2 linked regions of the Drosophila melanogaster genome follow. The protein of the gene in region 1 interacts with the protein of each later gene in a pairwise test. Each region holds a gene or a part of one and is shown in the gene's direction. Other genes may lie near its edges.

Evidence for each region. The genes of interacting proteins can lie anywhere in the genome.
Region 2: the proteins of e(y)3 (region 1) and Taf5 interact in binary tests that used the Drosophila melanogaster proteins (3 or more experiments, as listed by UniProt).

Annotation. Positions count from the first base shown.
Region 1 is NC_004354.4:19,635,205-19,640,120, reverse strand, and holds the start of e(y)3 (enhancer of yellow 3), read left to right. Parts: upstream 1-1,751; 5' UTR 1,752-2,748; exon of another isoform or gene 2,749-3,269; intron 3,270-3,651; 5' UTR 3,652-3,683; coding exon 3,684-4,916. Other genes in the region: Rcd-1 (required for cell differentiation 1), read right to left, coding at 31-225, 301-675, 728-811. UniProt on the Drosophila melanogaster protein: Essential transcription regulator during early development. Coactivates transcription of some euchromatin genes and repress transcription in of euchromatin genes translocated to heterochromatin.
Region 2 is NT_033778.4:10,876,812-10,881,503, reverse strand, and holds Taf5 (TBP-associated factor 5), read left to right. Parts: upstream 1-1,830; 5' UTR 1,831-1,898; coding exon 1,899-4,013; 3' UTR 4,014-4,192; downstream 4,193-4,692. Other genes in the region: Pex6 (peroxin 6), read right to left, coding at 1-600, 664-1,176, 1,471-1,497; nclb (no child left behind), read right to left, coding at 4,288-4,692. UniProt on the Drosophila melanogaster protein: TFIID is a multimeric protein complex that plays a central role in mediating promoter responses to various activators and repressors. May play a role in helping to anchor Taf4 within the TFIID complex.

The DNA of each region.
Region 1 (4,916 bases):
TGCATAAGGCTTCGGGAAACGGACACTCACCAGGGTGATGGCCACGTGCGAAAAGCGTTCGTAGGTCTGGCAGATGTACGACAGACCCGACTCATCGAGCAGGATCTTCTGGATGATGAAAGTGGCCACAGTCTTGCTCAGCTCCGATCCGCTGTCCATGATGCTCAGACAAAGGGGCACGATCTCGGTGGTCAGCAGAAAGGTGATCACCTCCTGTTCGTCGGTCTGTCGATAGCAGTAATAAGAAGACAACAAGTGCATTAGTGCATTAGATGACCACTGGCCTTCGGCTTAACCTACCTTGACCAGAGCACCAATCACGCCCAAACTGGTCAGGCGCAAGTACTCGAAGGGCCTGGTCTTGGACGTGGTCGACAAGAAAGGGTACAAGTACAGCGGTATCTGGGCCTGCAGGAAGGCCGTGCGAGTCTCCGGGTGCGAGGCGACGCACTGCAGCAGCGCCAGGGCGTTGCACACGCGGTTCGACTGGTGGGCCGTCAAAGTGGGCGGCGTTATCGATGGGTAGATGTTAACAATCTCCTGCAACAGGGCGCAGGCGGTCCCGAAGCTGTTCCACAGCATGGGGGCCAGGTCCGTCTCACGCTTCTTGCTTAGCTCGAGCAGAGCGGTTTCACGCGTGTCCGGATGGGCCAGCTCATTGATCCACTGGTACACCTGGCGGGCGATAAGTTAAAGCTAGCACGCGTTCTTGCCGACATCGGCTTACCTTCTCCTGCTCGGTCTGCTGCTGCTGCTGTTGCTGCTGCTGCTGCTGCTGAGGATTCATATGCGGACTCGGTTGAGCACTCATCGTGTTAACTTGACAAGATCTGGGTAAGAACTGTCGCCGGACGCTTGCAATGCACTTAGTGTCGGCGAGAACTCGCTGAACGGAACGGGACCTGCGAAAAGGAAGAGGTGGATTCCTATCGCCGGACGCTTAGATCGGGCGAGAGTTCGCTGAACGGAATGGGGCCTGCGAAAAGGAAGAGGTGGAACTAGCGATTTGTCGTCGATTTCTATAGCCGGACGCTTGCAATAGACTTAGCTCGGGCGAGAATTCGCTGAACGGAACGGGGCCTGCGAAAAAGGAAGAGGTAAAACTGGCGATTTGGCGTCTATTGCGATTATCGATAACGTTAGCAGGAAATTCCTTTTGCATTGGTTTAAGTCTAAAATGATCGAAAACAAGTGGCGACAACCAGGATTATGTTGTGTGCCGAACAGTGTGGCCAGAACCGCGCAAATGCCGCTGGAAATTGGTGAAACGCAAGCGCGCTATTTGTTTTCCAGCGTCGATGTAAATATGTACATAAATTTAAATTTTCAGAGAAACTTCCCGCCGTACGAAAACACAAAGTCTGAATGAAATCAAACATGATTTGCCAAATACAACTGCTTGCGCATGCTTTGTTGGTGCAAAATGCAAAAGTCTACAATTTTGAAGAAAATAGGCTTGATATCTTTGAAAAAGGATGACATTGCAAAGAAATAATGAATGGACGTGAGCGCGTGATTGCGAATGACCGATGATTACATTGATCAAAAGTAATAACCATAATGGGTATTTTAATTAGGTTATAGTTCATAATTTGCATGCTAAAAGCTAAAAATGCAATTTAGTAAAGACGCATTTAGCGGTAGTCAAGTGCACCGACTGGTTTGTATCCCGGCTATCCCCGTCGATTTTGTGGTATTTCTTAGCACATTCCCCGCCAGCCGGGTATCTAGCTGACAGCCGCAAAACGGCCACACTGATTTTCATTTGTCGTGACGAGTACCTCGGAATCGAAAAGAAAAAAACATAAGCAGACAGGCGAAACAGAGCATTCCGTTCAATAATGAATGCATAAGAACGTTCGACGCGCGCCGAGAACCAGTCTGCATACGAGTCGTGCGTGCGGCCAGCGTGTTGGATATATTTTTTTGAGGTTTGCGCCAGTTTCCAATGCACTCTCGTGTCGCCCTGCCTTCTGTACCATCGAATTTGAATCGTTAAAAGTGCGTGGAAAAGTGTACGAATCGAAACCAATACACGGAAAGTGGGACAACGGCGACTGAGAGAGCTCGTTGCGCTTGTCTCTGTGTCGCTGCCTTTGTGTGCGTACGACTGAGCGTGTGTGTGTGTGTGCCGTTCTGTTGCTGTTGTGTGTGTGTGTGTGCATGCGTGTGCACCGCCGATGTGTGCGTGCGAGTAGTGCCTACTGCGGCCGAGAGTCGAGTGTTGCCCGTGCTTCGAAATCGCATTGAATCGTATGGAAAAATGTGTTTTACTTCTCGCCCAACAACGCCGAACGCCTAAAAAAGAAAATTGCCGCACGGCGTCGCGCAGCATCAATCAAAGTGCATAGAAATATGAGCATGCCAATGCCAGCAAAGGCAAAGGCAAACGAAATAGCAAATCCAAATCGCAATCGCGAATTGTGCACGCAAATCAAAAGCAGGCGCTCTTCTACTCCACCATCTTCTTTTGTCTGTCTCTGAGCGACGACTTTGCCGCATGGTGAGTTTGCCGTTTGCTTGTCGTTGCTGCTTCTTCTTTGCCCCGTTCGTTATTGTTGTTGTCGTTGGTATTGGTAGTGGTAGTGGTTGTAGTGGTGGTGTTGGGTCAGGGCTTTGGCGGCGGCGTCGTTGTTGCTAATTTTGTTGCCAGTGCACTGGCTGTCGATATTGCGCTCTAAAATCGTGCTCACAATAATATTAGTCCTAGTGCAGATAGATAGATGCTTGCATTTGGCCAGTAGAAATGTAAGCATACATATACGCAGGCCAGGGCAACCAACCCATATGAGTGTGTGCGTGTCGTGCTCCTTCGTATGTGTGTGTGTGTGTGTGGATTTTCTCCATGCAGCGGCATCGACTGCTTGTGGTGGATTTGGCCGCCAGCGTGGTGAATTCGCGTCAGTGTTGCCAGCACACACCAGTAACAAACAGGCCATAATTCGTGGCGGCGCGGCTTTCTCAGTATTTGCCTATCCCGCTGCTTCGCTGCGCTCCTCTGCGCTCAACGCCATAGCCATTCCGCTTCATCCTCATCTTCCTCCTGCCTTTTCACGTTCTCCCCCAGTCGACAGCTGTGTGCGCATGTTTGCAGCGCTTATTATTTATTAAGTGTTGTTGTTGTTGCCCTCGCCGTGGTTCTTCTTGTGTTTATTTCGCTTGAAGTTTTTCGCGGCAATTTCGAGCGGTAGTTTTTCAGCGCCGGAAAATCGTATTGCATTTTCATCGGAATTTTCGGCTGGCGACTGTTTAAACCTGCGCGTCCTTCGGTATTTACAAATACGGTTTAATTGTTTAGACATGTGCTATAATTAGTTCGTAACTCTACCCGGCTTTCATTCAATTTTATTCTTTCATTGGGCTCCAATAAGTGTGTATGTACAAATGTACATATATGTATGTATGTATGTATGAGTGTATTTGTGGGTGTGTGTGTCTGTAGGTCGTTCCCCTTTTCAAATTGTCTCTTTTTAGTGTAAACAAAATGCATCCCTTGGAGCGGCAATTATACGCATTATTATATGCTGTATTGGCGGTTTTCTTTAGGATTGATTTCACATGCAAATTTAAGAATTAGTTGTTGAAAGTCCCGAATCTTATCGACTGCTATCATGCACCCTGATCTAAAGTATCGTCCACTTCTTTTTGCAGGCTGGCGGCCCACTGGACAATCGAATATAGCAATGAATGATTTACGTCAGCAGCAGATGGTAGCAGCGACATCGTCATCAGGATCGGAATCGGGAACAGCGGTAGAATCGGCAGCCGCCACGTCCACAGCAGGATCAGCCGGAGCAGCAGGTCGCCCCCAGTCTAACTGTAGCGCTAATAGCAACGCCAAGTCAGTGGCAGCGAGCAGCACGAGCGAGGAGGAGCAGCGAGTTAGCTCCACGTCGTCGCCAGCCCAGCGGGATCAGCAGCTGAATGCAGATCGGGACCGGGAACAGGAGCCAGAGCCACAGCAGCAGCAGCAGCGGGAGGAGGCACTGCAGCACCAGCATAATCAGCCCGGCCATATAACCAGCACCACAGCGTCGCCTCCGCCGACGCTGCCACCGCCGACGACGCCGTGCGACGATGCCCCAAGCACAACTGGAGCATCTGCATCGGCCAGCTCAGCATCCGGAGAAGCACCATCAGCAGCATCAGCAGCGGGAGCAGCAGGTGGACCGATGGCCGCTACGGCGCTTGAGGTAGAGAGCGAGGAGCGGGATGGACATAAGATCATCCTGAAGCTCTCCAAGCACGCCAATCCCAACTCAAACGCAAATGAATCTCAGCCGGGCGGAGATGAGAGGCGCGTGGAGCCCCTGCGCATTCAGCTGCCCTGCGGCGGAGCGGAAGGAGGCTTGGTTGCGAAGCAGCAAGATGCCTTCGATGCGGACGCCTCTTCCTGCTCCTCGTCGTGCGCCGAGGACGAGGTGGCTACCACCCTCGGCCAACAACTACGAAACACCCCGCACATTGTGCCAAAGCTGACCATCCGCGCCGCGAACGAGAGGCGCGTAGGCAGCGTGGTGCCTAAGCTGACCATCAAGTTGCCTGAGAATCCGGCTGCTTCCGGCTCCAACTCCAACTCTGGATCGTGCTCAGCAGCTGTGAGTGGCGCCCAGTCAGCTATGCCCGCCAAGAACGATGCCCACCTGTCCAGCCTCTCGCCCGCATCCGCCTCGTCTTCATCTGCCTCGTCCTCCTCCTCATCGTCGTCGTCGTCCTCACTGGCGGAGATGCAGACGGTGCCCAAGCTGATGATCAAGACAACGCTAGCCGGTAGTAGCTGCATCAGCAGCAGTGAGGAGCTTCCGCAGCAGCAGCAGCAGATACCAAAGTTAACAATCAAGACAGGTGGCGGCGGTCAGGAGCACGTGCACACGGTCATAATGACGCACGACCTAAACAACGCCCAGAGCATCCCC
Region 2 (4,692 bases), on another chromosome or scaffold:
CACAAGCTTTGATTTGCCCGATCCTCGCTCGCCTTGCAGGAGGAACACAGGAAATATGTGCTTTGACGACAGGCAGGCGGACTTTTTTGGCAGGAAAGCATCTACTGAGGAGCGCAACAGCTTATAGGGCTTTCGAAGTCCACTTGGATAGTTCTCAACGATGGCCATGCTGTCAAGCACTTGACGAGGCAGGAAACTGTGAGATGCAGGCACTTGAACAAGGTTGCTAAAGTTTTTGGCAACAATCGCTTGCAGCTCGAACTCGCTGCCCTTTGTCTCCAGGTGAATACACTTTAGGTGGACGTGGCGTAGGTGAGCGAATATCAGGTAATAGTGGGCATAAGTCGCAGTGCCCACCAACTCTGCGTTCACCTCGATGCGGTAGGTATGTCCACGATGCATGAGTCGAGGTGTATTGAAATAGTTGCTCAGGATGACCTCTGTCAGTTCGGCGGGAAGTTCATGGGGATCTGCGACTAAGTACACATGTGCTTTGGTTGCTATTCCAGGTATTGTCTGCTCATCGGCAAAATGCTCTACCTGCACCCAGCAGTTGGAGCGGATTTGAAAGCGATCCAATATGTTGCCGTAGAAGTTCTCCTGAAATTTTACACGATGTAGAATTATAGAAAATATTCCATTTATTTAGAACTAGATACCCACCTGAACGTACAGACAATTGGGTTGGCACTGTGCAGCCGGCAAGATCTGGGCCACAATCGTATGCGGCGCCTCCTGGAGCATTTGCTTGATAACCGTTTGGGTCATATTTCCTTCGTCTGAAGCTAGCGGCTTACCGATTCTTACCCTCCTGCCGCGGATAACCAAGTTGACAAAGTTGACGTCCGGCGATTCCGCATAGTTTTCGTACACCTCCTGACTGGCGAACACCAGGTGCTCCGACTTAATCTGCTCGTTCTTGATCAGCAGATCGTAGAGGCGGTTCGGAATGGGGGTCAGCAGAAACTTGCCCTTGTAATATTTGGCGTAACGCCAGTATACGGCGTATGTCAGATATCCGGGGTAGAGGAACCAGGGCCACTTGGGCGCCAGCAGCTGTATGGCCGAATTGTAGCCCTCGACTAGCTCCTGTACTCTCCCAGAGAAGCTAAATCTCGGCTGTCCTGGATCTTGTTGATCGAACGACACCGAATTCCGCTTGCCGACGACTTTTTTCTGCGGGAATTGATCACGATATTAGCTAATATGGCTTAAATGTTACATATGGACCTACCGCATCATCATTTTCATTCATTTTTTACAATAAATATGGACTAAACACAACAGAAAGCACGAGTACAAGGGTTAATTTCGAGGAGGCGGTGTCAAAGTTCAAGGAGTTGGGGGATAGGCGCCAGACAAATACACTGAAATATGCAATGGCAAGTTAATTCTGTTAATGCACAGCAAATTATTACCCTCTGCTATAAAAATTAGCTTGTTTATTTGGCCAGTTACTTTGTATTTTACCTTTTTCACAATTACTCTCCTCTTCATTACGAATGTTTTGATTCTGGTAAGATATTTGCTCAAAAAATACTAAAAGTATTCAGTCAGCTGTCCACAGTAAGACCTTTATAAGCACATCTTCAAATAATTTCTTTGACCTGCATAAAAGTTAAATATTAATTTTGTAGTAAAATGAAAGAATGAAATATGTCATTATATTTTAAGTAATTCCAAAAATTGGCAAAAAGATATAATTTATAATGTATTAATACAATTTATTTTTAGAATCCGTCTTCGCTAGTGGCTACTGTATATTTTGACTGTACTTGGTGCATTTTAGTATATTTCATTCTCCACTTGGCCGTTTTCAACCGATGCCAACCTGGTCACACTTTTCCACGCATAACAAAATAGTACACAAGTTCCATATATTTCAATTTTCCGCGAAAATGAGCCTGGAAGTGAGCAATATAAACGGGGGAAACGGTACTCAATTGTCCCACGACAAGCGTGAGCTGCTGTGCCTGCTGAAACTCATCAAAAAGTACCAGCTGAAGAGCACTGAGGAGCTGCTCTGCCAAGAGGCGAATGTGAGCAGTGTGGAATTGTCGGAAATCAGCGAAAGTGATGTTCAGCAGGTGCTGGGCGCAGTTTTGGGAGCTGGCGATGCCAACCGGGAGCGGAAACATGTCCAATCTCCGGCGCAGGGTCATAAACAGTCCGCGGTGACGGAGGCCAATGCTGCAGAGGAACTGGCCAAGTTCATCGACGACGACAGCTTTGATGCTCAGCACTATGAGCAGGCATACAAGGAGCTGCGCACTTTCGTTGAGGACTCCCTGGACATATACAAGCATGAGCTGTCCATGGTTCTGTACCCAATTCTGGTGCAGATCTACTTCAAGATCCTCGCCAGTGGACTAAGGGAGAAGGCCAAAGAATTCATTGAGAAGTACAAATGCGATCTCGACGGCTACTACATAGAGGGTCTTTTCAACCTTCTTTTGCTGTCTAAGCCCGAGGAGCTGCTGGAGAATGACCTCGTAGTAGCCATGGAGCAGGATAAGTTTGTCATTCGCATGTCCAGGGACTCGCACTCTCTGTTCAAGCGACACATTCAGGATCGCCGGCAGGAAGTGGTGGCAGATATTGTTTCCAAGTACTTGCATTTCGACACATACGAGGGCATGGCGCGCAACAAGCTGCAGTGCGTCGCCACCGCGGGCTCGCACCTCGGAGAGGCCAAGCGACAGGACAACAAAATGCGGGTGTACTACGGACTGCTCAAGGAGGTGGACTTTCAGACTCTGACCACTCCAGCGCCGGCACCAGAGGAGGAGGACGATGATCCGGATGCCCCGGATCGTCCGAAAAAGAAAAAGCCAAAAAAGGATCCCCTGCTGTCGAAAAAGTCCAAGTCGGATCCGAATGCTCCATCCATCGACAGAATTCCCCTGCCGGAACTGAAGGATTCGGACAAGTTGCTAAAGCTTAAGGCTCTCAGGGAAGCCAGCAAGCGTTTAGCCCTCAGCAAGGATCAACTGCCCTCTGCCGTCTTCTACACGGTGCTTAATTCCCATCAGGGCGTAACCTGTGCCGAGATTTCAGACGATTCCACGATGTTGGCCTGTGGATTTGGCGATTCTAGCGTGAGGATTTGGTCATTGACGCCCGCGAAGCTGCGTACGCTGAAGGATGCAGATTCCCTTCGCGAACTGGACAAGGAATCGGCGGATATCAATGTGCGTATGCTGGATGACCGAAGTGGTGAGGTAACCAGGAGCTTAATGGGTCACACCGGACCCGTATACCGCTGTGCCTTTGCCCCCGAGATGAACCTGTTGCTCTCATGTTCCGAGGACAGCACCATAAGGCTGTGGTCTCTGCTCACCTGGTCCTGCGTAGTCACCTACCGCGGGCACGTTTACCCGGTGTGGGATGTTCGCTTTGCGCCGCATGGCTACTATTTTGTTTCTTGTTCGTACGACAAAACTGCTCGTCTGTGGGCCACGGATTCCAATCAAGCGTTGCGCGTATTCGTGGGTCACTTGTCGGACGTGGATTGTGTACAATTTCATCCCAATTCCAATTATGTGGCCACCGGTTCTAGCGATCGCACGGTACGCCTGTGGGACAACATGACCGGTCAGTCGGTACGCCTGATGACGGGCCACAAGGGATCGGTGAGTTCTCTGGCCTTCTCCGCCTGCGGCCGGTATCTGGCCTCGGGTTCAGTAGATCACAATATCATCATCTGGGATCTGTCGAACGGATCCCTGGTCACCACCCTGTTGAGGCACACTAGCACTGTGACCACGATCACCTTTAGTCGCGATGGAACAGTCCTGGCTGCAGCCGGCTTGGATAACAATCTAACTCTGTGGGACTTTCACAAGGTTACCGAAGACTATATCAGCAATCACATCACTGTGTCGCACCATCAGGATGAGAACGACGAGGACGTCTACCTCATGCGTACTTTCCCCAGCAAGAACTCGCCATTTGTCAGCCTGCACTTTACGCGCCGAAATCTCCTGATGTGCGTGGGTCTATTCAAGAGTTAGGAGCACAGATAAGCTTATTTGGTATACGTAATGTAGTGTTAAGGAATGCTCGGAATGTTTAGGATTAATGTTTTGTATTTCGTTTGTGACCCATCCCCCCTGAAATGTCGATTAGTTGTTTAAGCATAAAAGTGTAAAGTGCATATATGCGCAAGTTATCAATAAATTTTAATTAATATAAAAGTCAATCATTAAGGTTCTTATATATAATTCATATTTATTTAAAAGTCATATAAAGCATATACACAGATAAATACGTAGCTGTACGATTTGCCTACTCTGCATCAGGGATTCCAAACGTTCGGCGCACGGCTATCGAGTTCTTGATGTTAAAGATCGCACAGCGCGGAGGCTTCTCTCCGCCGAAGGCCAGGGTGTAGGGATCCTCGGGGCACTGGCGCATGCACTGCAAGCGACCCATGTTGAACTCGTGCTCGTAGACGTGCTTTGCCTCTGTGCCATCAAAGTTCCACACCTTTAGGGTGCCCTCCGTGGAGGTGGAGGTCAGCAGATTAGGCTTCTGGTTGTTGAAGCACACACCGGAGATTTCCTCGTTGTGGGCCTTTACGGACCACAGCAGTTGTCCAGGAGAACGTTTGTCGGCGTAATGCAAGGTGCCATCGTTGGTGCCCACGATGAAGTAGTCGGTCTGTGTGGGATGCCACAGGACCTTCTCCAC